Linked DNA regions of Mus musculus. The protein of the gene in region 2 purifies or fractionates together with the protein of the main gene of each other region. This does not show direct contact. Links are inferred from orthologs where the notes say so. Each region holds a gene or a part of one and is shown on either strand. Other genes may lie near its edges.

The links.
Region 1: the proteins of Slamf6 (region 2) and Sh2d1a purify together in Homo sapiens (co-immunoprecipitation; 5 studies listed by BioGRID and IntAct, with this or other methods). This does not show direct contact. The link is inferred for Mus musculus from reciprocal best matches to the Homo sapiens genes SLAMF6 and SH2D1A.

The regions. Positions count from the first base shown.
Region 1 is NC_000086.7:42,500,658-42,505,896, forward strand, and holds the start of Sh2d1a (SH2 domain-containing protein 1A), read left to right. Parts: upstream 1-1,907; 5' UTR 1,908-2,065; coding exon 2,066-2,202; intron 2,203-4,162; exon of another isoform or gene 4,163-4,235; coding exon of another isoform or gene 4,236-4,237; intron 4,238-4,664; exon of another isoform or gene 4,665-4,688; coding exon of another isoform or gene 4,689-4,690; intron 4,691-5,239.
Region 2 is NC_000067.6:171,915,622-171,920,722, reverse strand, and holds the start of Slamf6 (SLAM family member 6 isoform 2 precursor), read right to left. Parts: upstream 3,262-5,101; 5' UTR 3,016-3,261; coding exon 2,931-3,015; intron 1,472-2,930; exon of another isoform or gene 1,367-1,471; intron 1-1,366. UniProt on the Homo sapiens protein: Self-ligand receptor of the signaling lymphocytic activation molecule (SLAM) family.

The sequences.
Region 1 (5,239 bases), on a different chromosome or scaffold from region 2:
TTTGTCTGTTGGTGTCACTGTTATCTCCCCTTCTCTGTTATGTGATCTTTGTCTTCCTGTACTGTGGGTACAGGGACAGGGAAGGAAGAAAGCTATTTCAGTTCCTCTATTCTCTACACTTCAAGCTCTGTGTGAAGTTTGAATTTGCCAAAGTCAAGCTTAGTGCCTGCATAGCAGCAGAGCAAGGGTGTCAGTATTTTTCATCAACACTGCACTGGTGGGCTGGCTCACCTGTCAGTTTGCTTGTGAGATGACAATAAGGTAGTGGATGTGAGAGTTGTACTATTACCGTATAATTTAACTGTTCTCTTGTGATGTGATTTTCGTTGTGCTGAAGCCCACTGTACCTGGCTGCTTTGACAAGCGTGCTATTTTAGCAATGCAGAATGAAACAGAAAGAAAAGAATGCATGGGATGCTTGCTCCGTCAGATCCAGGTTTCTCTGTGCCTGTGTTTGTAGATGATTTGTTCAGGGTTGTTCAGAGACAAAAAAAATGAGGTTAGGTTTTGTTTTTAACCTATGGAACACTGAATGTTCTAGCAGTTACACTCTAGGTGGGCTACTGTCCGTATGCCTTAATAAAAGAAGATTACCCCTTTCTTTCTTTTCATATTTAAAATGCCATCATTATAACTGATTTCTAAATAGAGTCCTGGTTAGGCTAAACTCTGATGTTTTTAACATTGATGTAGGTAGGCATTTATGTATGAGAATAGAAGTTACAACACATTTATCAACACCTGTGCGATGATGTAAAATGGATTTTATATCCACAATGATTCTGGCCTAGCCCCATATGCCAAAGGGTATATAGAAGTTCACACAGGACACCAATGGACAGACCAAACTGGACAGAAAAAGCCCACAAACCAGCAGCTCTACAGGAAGAACTACAGACAGCTGAGTAAAATCGGAAGTAGAAGAAGTGGTCACCCGTGGGAAGAGCACACTAATTGGTCGTCTACTACCAAATGGCTATCCCTGAAAACATACATACAAATAGCACCATACAGGCACAACTGGATGTGTTTAGGAATTACACGTATATACATATATGCATGCAATAATACAATAATACAATAGCAATGTTGTTGAAGAGCAGGGAGGGATTCATGGGAGGGTTTCAAGGGTGAAAAGGGAAGGGAGAAATGCTGTGATTATATTGTGATTTTAATAATAATAAAAACAAAGAAGTACCAACAAAAGAATTTAGTCTTCTTAAGCTCCTTAGCTAGATCCATCTACACTTTTTTTTTTTTAATATGATGACAATTTTTTTCATAGTTTTGGATTTTGGACAAAACATTAAGGTAAAAATACTTGTTTTGGCCTAAGTGTATTCAAGGATTTGGCATATGGCTTCGGGATAGAAGACCTCATCTGCGAGGCCCCGAATTCCATCATCAGCATTGAAGAAAAGAAAGCTGTTTCAGGACCATCTAGTCCCAAAGTCTGTAGTTCAGTAGCCCTTGGTGATGCTGTGGAAGCCTTGCAGCCATGTTCTGCTGTGGTTTTGTAGCTTGACTGCTTTTATGCTTTTATTTTGTCAGTCTGCTTCTGCCCCTCATGATGAACACGTCCCATTCACTTCTATCACCAATTCTTTTGTTCACTCGTTAAGACAAGTCATTGTCAATGGCTTCGAAGTTTGCAGGAACTACACAAGAACAAAGGCACTAGCAAGTTTCTCATCTTTGTGCAAGCTCTGTTTGCGTTGCTGGCACAGCTCAAATACTGCAAGTGTTCACCTTTTCAGCGTGCCCCCTCCCCCACCACAAACCTTTGTTGGAGAATAGATGATCAAACCCATGACAAGTTTGAAGCTGTTAAACTGCTGAGCTGGCCTGAATTGAAGTGTGAGAAGAGGTTTTAAGGCAGGTAGACAACATCCTGTTGTTAGGGTGTTTCTCTCTCTCTCTCTCTCTCTCTCTCTCTCTCTCTCTCTCTCTCTCTCTCTCTCTCTCTCTCTCAATACTGCCCAGTAAGCCACTGCAGCGGCAACAGCAGCAGCAAAGTTTCCTTTTTACCATCCTTCTTCTGGGCCCATCAAAGAGTTTGCTAGGCATGGATGCAGTGACTGTGTACCACGGCAAAATCAGCAGGGAGACCGGGGAGAAGCTCTTACTCGCTACCGGGCTGGATGGAAGCTATCTGCTGCGAGACAGCGAGAGTGTCCCTGGCGTGTACTGCCTGTGTGTTTTGTGAGTATATCTCGTGGTAGTGGCAGGTTGTTAGCATGGGTAGCCTGCCCTTTCAGGGGAGGGCTGGGAGGAGTGGCAGGGGATGACAGCTTTTGGCAGAGGTACCTAGGGAATACAGGCAGCAGGAACTGAGTACTCTTCCAGCTCTGACGTATGGTCCCAGGGCTCAGCCCAGGGATGTGGTGGGCAGTACTTGTACGTACGTCCCTCACTGCGGATTTTATCAACTGCATTTCACCAGTGCGTTTGTGGCAGCTTCACTGAATACCCTTCAGAATGGGAAAACATGGCCTAGAACTTACCTTTACTTTGAGAAAGACCCATACTCTGGACTTCGGCTCTGATTCCAAGTAGACACCATGATGGTGGAGCCCCGGGAAGTTGGACTATTTGTATTCTGGGCCATGAAGTAAGGCAAAGGAAGGTCTTTCTCTATCATTCTCTACAAATGTGACTGAAAATGGTACCCTAAAAGAAAAGCATCTAGCAAATGCTTGAAGAAGTGGTTAGCCAGGAAATGGAATCCATTGCTTTCAGAATGCAGCCCAGGGAAGGCAGAGGTAGACAGATGTGTGTGAGTTTCAGGTGACTAGCCTGGTTTTACATGGGCCGGTTCCATGCCAGCTAGGGCTACATAGTATAAGATCCTATTAAAAAACAGTAGCCAACAACACTAAAGCAGTACAGTGCTGAAGAGGATGTGTATGCAAGAGTAGGGGCACCTTTCTGGTGCTGCTGAATTGCCTTGTTTTATAAGAGGCATAATGAGTTTTAAAACGTGCTGTGTCCCGTAAATGATAGGAGTGAGAATAGTTTTAAAGAACAGAGAGAGGGAGAAAACATCATTGTAATTATCCCACTTTGAGCTTTGCCTAGACTGGTCTCAGCCTCTTACTCCATTTTGAACCAGGTGCAGCTGCATCTTGGCTCTGTACAACCTCCCTGAGCAAATCCTACTGTAGTCAGACTCAAAAGGTTGTTATCTCACAACACCAATCTCTTAGCCATTGATTTTAAATGGGATTCATATTCTAAGGGTCAATGAAGATTAAATACCTCCATGTACAAAAAAAAAAAAGACAAATGAACACTGGGCTTGACGCTCAGCAAATGGAAGTCTGGTTTATTATTAGTCTCTTTTTGGACAAATTATTCCGGTACTCCTTGAGGCAGTCTACAGAAGGACCCAGTTCAAGCACTACTGTAAGCAGGATATATATATATATATATATACATATATATATATATATATACACACACATATACACACACATAATACACACATACATACACACACACATATATATATATATACACACACACACACACACACATATATACTGTATGCTTATACATATATCCCAGTAAAACCTCACTCTAATACAGTAGAGTCTACATGAAAGCAAAACAAAAATGCTTGGTAGTGAGTTCTGTACATGATGATACACTGCAAAAATTTGACGTACTCTCTGGGCCAGAAAATAAAGATTAAATTGAGGCTGGTGTGAGAGGATTGTCATTGTATATTGATTTTTTTAAAAAAATGTCCAAGCCTTATTTTTGTCAGTTTTTAAGATCATGCTAAATACATTTATCATAAAGGCTTCAAGGTAAATATATGGAAAAATCATTTTTCAGTGTTGGGGACAGGATCCAGAATTTTATATGTGCCTGAAAAATGCTTTTTTATTAAGCTAGATGCCCAACCCTGGGCTTGGACCTTTATGTTCCCAAGTGGAACCCTAAGAAGGGCTAGGGAAGCCAATGACAATCCTTAGTTATTTTTAACTTGTCAAAAGATGAAGGATGGTGAGTGAGACGGGCTGCTTTGGGCACACTGATAATAGAAGGAGCATGCTCCTTAACCAGAAGGTTCACATGAAGCCTATATAGGGGAGAGAGGGCTGGAGACAGTACAGCTCACACTTGAATTTTTCTTCCCACCTGGTCACCCCGGAAGGTAACTAAGCCTGCTCCCTACTCAGGATTGTCCAGTTTCTGTTCAACATTGCATCTCTTGATCATTCCCACAAATGTAAGTGCCCTCTCTGGGTTGCTATCCCATTTCTTCTATTCAAGGAACTTTAAACATGCTAATATAAGTTTGTTTACTTATATATGGGCTCTACCACGAAACTACCTTCACAAAGGAGCAAACATTGCCTCTACCAGGACTATATCCTGGTACATAATAGGCACTCAGCAAACAGTTTGGAATTCGACTAACTGTTCAGGCATATGCTCTTCACTATGAAGGGCATCTGGCTGCCAAGAAGCCAGGGTGGGGGCTCTAGGAAGTCATTCAAATTCTCTGGGGCTTCACCTTACATCCGTGTAAAATAGAAACCTGTTGTTTCCTCTGTTATAAAAGATGGCTGTAAGTGAAATCTTGAAGAGAAGGAACCTTAGTATTTTGGTATGTAGGCCGGAACCATGTAAGGAAATTCTCAGCCTTCTGGTTTTCACTCACCGGGGATGCTGTATAAATGTAAGATGCTTGTTTGTTTGTTTTTTGTTGTTGTTACTGTTGACTAACTTCTCTTTGAAAACCTCTCCCTATGAAAATAGAGAAGTGGAGAATTCTCCTCCAGTCTTTAAAATGATGGTCTGTTGTTTTCAAGGTTATGGCCAGACAACTGTGGAAGGAATGCTTTTCTTGCCTTTGATAAGTGCTTCAGGGTTTTGTTTTGTTTGTTTTGTTTTGTTTTGTTTTGTTTTGTTTTGTTTTGAGCTGAGTGCCCCTTTTGCTACACACAAACATTTTATTCTCTCTTATTGGCACTACATGGTACGTGCAACATGTTATTTGGATCCTAATCTACATTCCTTACTCAAAATACTGATTTGTAGGATTTAGAGTAGAAAAAAAAATCATATATGCTTGAAAAAAACCCACAATAGTGTCTGTTTAATCAGTACCACCTTATTTTATGTTTTGTTTATTCTCATTAACCACGAAGGTTTTTGTAAACTTCAATTTACTCTATTTTTATTGTATGGTTCAAACTATGCTTAGAATTGTATTTTCAAACCATAT
Region 2 (5,101 bases):
AGTAATGGGCTTCATATATTTTTAGACACACATATATTTTGATTTTATTTACCCTCTTTATTTTCTCTTAACCCCTTCCCACACCTTTTGATTTCCTTCTTCTGAGTTAATTCAGTCTTACTCTTCCTTCCTTCCTTCCTTCCTTCCTTCCTTCCTTCCTTCCTTCCTTCCTTCCTTCCTTCCTTCCTTTCTCTCTCTCTCTCTCTCTCTCTCTCTCTCTCTCTCTCTCTCTCTCTCTCTCTCTTTCTTTCTTTTTCTGATAAGCCAATGAGTTTCTTCGGGTTACTTAGAGGAGCATAGATAAAGGGCTATGTACAGAGGCAAGGACACCTTACACGTGGCCACACTACCTAGGAAAATGTCTCATCCTCCCCAACCAGCCATTAATCACTTCAAAGTCCTGAGGGAGGGGTGGGCCTGACTGGTCTTGACACGAAGGATTGGTCATCCTACATGGCAGGATGGTGTTAGGCCTAGTCTTGTGCAAGGCAATAGAAGCGTACTTGCTGTGCATTGAAGAGTGCAACTGCCACATCACATGGTGGATGGGTTAGTTTTGCCTCCAAGGGAATGAGTTAAAGGGAATGAAGCGGGCTGGGGTAATGCATAGTTGGCAAAGTGCTTGCCACACAAGCAGGACCACCTGAGTTCAGATCCCAGTAGCCAAGTAAAAAGCTAAGTGAACTGATCTATTGCTCTAATCTCAGCACTGGGGAGGAGGTTCCCTGGGGCTGACTGGCCAGTCAACCCACCAAATGAACAAGCTTCAAGTTCACTGAGAGTCCGGTCTTAAAAACTAAAGGCAGAGAAAAAGTCATGAAAGACACACGGAACAAGTAAACCCCGGACATGCACACAAACGTTTTTCAATATGGCTTATTTTTGAGCTGAGACTCTCATATGGAATCAGGATGTGTCTCACCTACCTGAAAACTTGTAGTGAGTGAGACATCTCCTTCTTCTCAGAGAGCATCTCTTTGTCCTACAAACTTGCCCCAGTGGTCTTGTCTTTCCCCAATCCCTCCGAATTCTTCCCTCCCCCTTTTCCATCTCCCTCCCATGCTTCTTTATTAGAATCCTTCCCTATTTAACGTCTCAGATCATTTCACCTATTCCAGAAAGTTCTTCCTCAACACCCAGTCCAGAGAGGTTCTCCTATTTTTGGTGTCCCTGCTTACTTCTGCCCTGGAACCAGACTCTCCACTTTCCACCCTGGTAAGCACGGTTCCACTCCACTGAGGGGTTTTTGGCCACCTGCATCTCTCTCTGGCAGATGCAGTCAACTGTGTTCTTTTCTTCCAAGCCCTCCCCCCACAGCTGTGTGGCAGTAAACTGTTACTTAGGCTCTGTTTTCCTCTTCTGATCCACATCCGCACACGGGGACCGAGCCCGATATGTCACAGTCTTGTTAAAAGAAGAATCCTCAGAGATGTGGAGGAGGGACACCCAGAAATTATCCAGCTTTATAGAGGTAACAGAGTGAGGTTAAAAGCTCAAGTCACTGGCTGGAATCAGGCTAAGAAAAGGCAACGTGGATGGATGGGAGTAAAAGAATTCTCATCTTTTTCTGCATCTTTTATGCATTTTCCAAAATTCTGTCCACATTCCTAATCCTCCTAGTTTGACGTAGTCTCTATTCCCAGCTTTAGCCTTGTGCCTCAGTTTCCACCTGCTTCCAGGAAATTTCCTCTTGGCCATTGCATTGATAACATAAAACAAATAGATCAGAAAAGGAGCCGACCTTCCTCCTGTGTCAGCTCCTCCATCCTAATTCTATCCCTATCTTTGACTGTCCAGCCTACGACGCAACGTTAATGTTCTCCCTCCTCTCTCTTTGCTTTATTTTTTCAAGATTATTTGTCCTAAGCCAGTGCACATTTTACCTGTTTATAGTTTATCTTCCCTGCCAAGACGTTAATTCCGCAGAACAGAAATTGTGTTGACTTAGTTCCTGAAACGCCCACAGTGCCGTGCATTCAGTGGTCATTTAGTGAATGGTTTATCAAATGACTTAATGAACCTTGCTTTCTTTTTCTTTCTGTTGTCAATTTGTCTAGATAGCTCTATATCTGCAGTATGTCTTGGTTTGTGTGTGTGCATGCACACAGGTGTTTGTTACTGAAAGTTTTAGTCAAGTGATTTGTTTTTATTTTTATTGGTTTTTTTCAGCTACCTGATGACTAATAGAATTTTCAAAAGTTATTTAAATTGCCATAGTCTAAGTTACTTGTAGCTATTAATAGAATAAATTCACAAACACGTTATGGACATCTAAATGTAATGCATGTTTAATAATTAGCTCATTTTCTGGAATAAAATAAATGCTAGGCTACCTATTGGTTCTTTTTTTTTTTCTTCAATGAATTCTCTCGGGGCTAGGTCTGTGTTAGTAGCCATTGCTTGATCTCCTGTTTTAGAACACTACGCTTCAGTCCAGATAGGCACCCTCTGAGTTCTTAAAGACAGTGAGAGCTTTCCAGATAGCAGGGAGAAGAAGCAGGCTCAGTCAATCCCTTCCTAATTGCAGTGTGAAAGCGTTGGTGGGTTTTCAGTATCTGAGCGAAGAGTGAAGCTCGGGAAAGATAATGAAGCCCCCTGAAGTCGCACAGTATCACAGTAGTTAAATTGTAGATCTTTTTCCCGCTTAAACTTATTTTTGTACCACAATACGCTGGTCACGAACAGTCCTGACTTACAAAGACTCATTTTCCATATCTCAGAAAACACTTCCCTTCCCCTTGGCCCCCAGCCGAAGTGTTTGCTCTGAATCAGTCCCGTGGCAGTCTGCGGGAAGCAGTTCGCTAGGACCACGGTGAGCTTTCTAAGTCTCTGAATAGAGAACTGGGCAGTCAACCTGACCAAGAGGAGCAAGGCATTCCAAAGAAGGAACTCACTCAGTGACTCAATCAGTTTCCACAGACGTTTTTTACCTGAGCCGAGGCAGAAGACAAGTGGAAAGAGCCAGACCATCCTCTGACAGGCGGAGTCGGGTGCTGGAGCCCTTGAGACAGCCATTCTTTCATAAGCTTGTCGCTGAGACTTTCTGTTCCCCTATTGATGAGAGCTCTTCCTCTATGTTAGCAAACCTTTGGTTGTCGTGATTAACTTCACACTTGGCTTACAAGAATATCTTTTGTAAGCTAAGACTCTTAGCAGTAGGGAACGTGGAACTTGAACGGGCCATCTTCTGTAACCAGGCAAGACTTCTGGTGGAGGGACTGGGACACCAACCCAGCCACAAAAACCTTCTACTTATGATTTGTCTTGCCAGCAAGATGTGCTGGGGTAAAGGTGACACAGAAATTGTGGGAGTGGCCAATCAGTGACTGGTCCATCTTAAGACCTATGCCAGGACGGGGAGCCCACTCCTGATACTGTGTGGAGAGCCATGAAGCAGAGGCTGGATAGCCCAGAGACACAACAAACAAACAAACAAACAAACAAACAAACAAACCAACCATAGCAAAACAAATCTGCTATACTTGAGGCAGGAGCCTAGCCCAGTTGTCATCAGAGAGGCTTCACCCAGCAACTGATGGAAACAGATGCAGAGATCCAGAGTCAAACATCCTGTGGAGCTTGGGGAATCTTGCAGAAGAGGTGGAGGAAGGATTGTTGGAGACAAAGGGGTCAAGGACACCTCAAGAAAACCTACAGAATCAATTAGCCTGGGTTCATGGGGCGCTCACAGAGACTGAAGTGGCAACTAGGGACCCTGCATGGTTCTAACCTAGGTGCTATATATATATATATATATATATATATATATTATATATATAATGATTATGTAGCTTGGTCTTCTAGTAGGACTTCCAACAGTGGGATAGGGGGCTGTCTCTGACTCTTGCCTGATTTTGGGACTCTTCCTCCTATTGGGTTGCCTAGTCCTTATGAGGGGAGGTACCTAGTTTTATTGCAACTGGATATGCCTTGTTTGGTTGATATCCCTGAGAGACTTGCTCTTTTCTGGAGCGAAAAGGAAGAGAACTGGATGGAGGGGGCTGAGGGAGGTGTTGGGGGAAGTAAGGGGGGAGGGGAAAGACTGGGAGGGAGGAGAGAGGGAAACTGCTGTCAGGGATGTAATATATATGAGAGAAGAATACCTTGAAAAAGAAAGGAAATACCTTGAATGATTTTAACTTAGAAATTTTTAGAGAGACTTAAATCGTGTCCTCTCTACGCACTTGAGAAAATGTTCACCTTGTCTGTGCCATCTTCTGTAATGCTTGTCAGATCTTACTCGTTTATAATGTGGCTCAGTTGTTATTTTTTTTTGCCCCAATCCCTGTGGTTCTGACCTCGGAAGATTCGGATGCTGGAGGCTTGGTCTCCAGTATGTTGATGCAGATGTGGTGGCAACTTTGAGAAGGTCCAAGTAGAAAAGTATTAGGTCATTGATGGTGCTCTGAGAGTGGGCTGTCAGGTATGCAAATGCCTTTGAACCACCCCCACGCCTACAGATAACCCCTCATCCGTGCACCTGTCAGTAACCTCAAAGAACTAATCCGGACTTGTGAGGGCTGTTTCTTTGTTTTGTTCTCAGTCCTATATGAGGTGATTAGAGATACTTGCTCAAATCTCCCCAGGGGGGGGGGGGGAGTCACAATTGGTGCCTGAACCGGGAGAAACAAAACAAAGTTGTGTCTGAGAGGAGGGGTCACATGACCCTCTGCTATGTGTGAGACACAGGCTACAGTGCATGATCCAACCGAAGGTGGAACATCCATTCGGCAATCCGTATATGATTACTCTTCTCTGGTTATATGGGAACTTGTGCCTCCTTGCTGTAGTGCCAGTTGTGTGTCTGATATGAGTAAGACATGCAACTGAAGCCGATGGACATCTTGGAGGGGAAACCCAGGGTGGCTGTCTTCCTCTATGGTATATGGTTGCATATCCCCTTTATGAATGTGGCCTGTGATTCAAGTACAGGAAAGCCCCCAAGGAGGCTGATGGACTAGAGAATATGTTGTAATTTCTGAAAGTGGCAATATGGCATGTGATTATAAGCAGGTCACGGAAATGGTCTCTGCCGGATGCCATAAGAGATGTAACCGAGGCTGAGATTTCTGCCCAGAATGAATTGCCAGCAGGAGGGAGG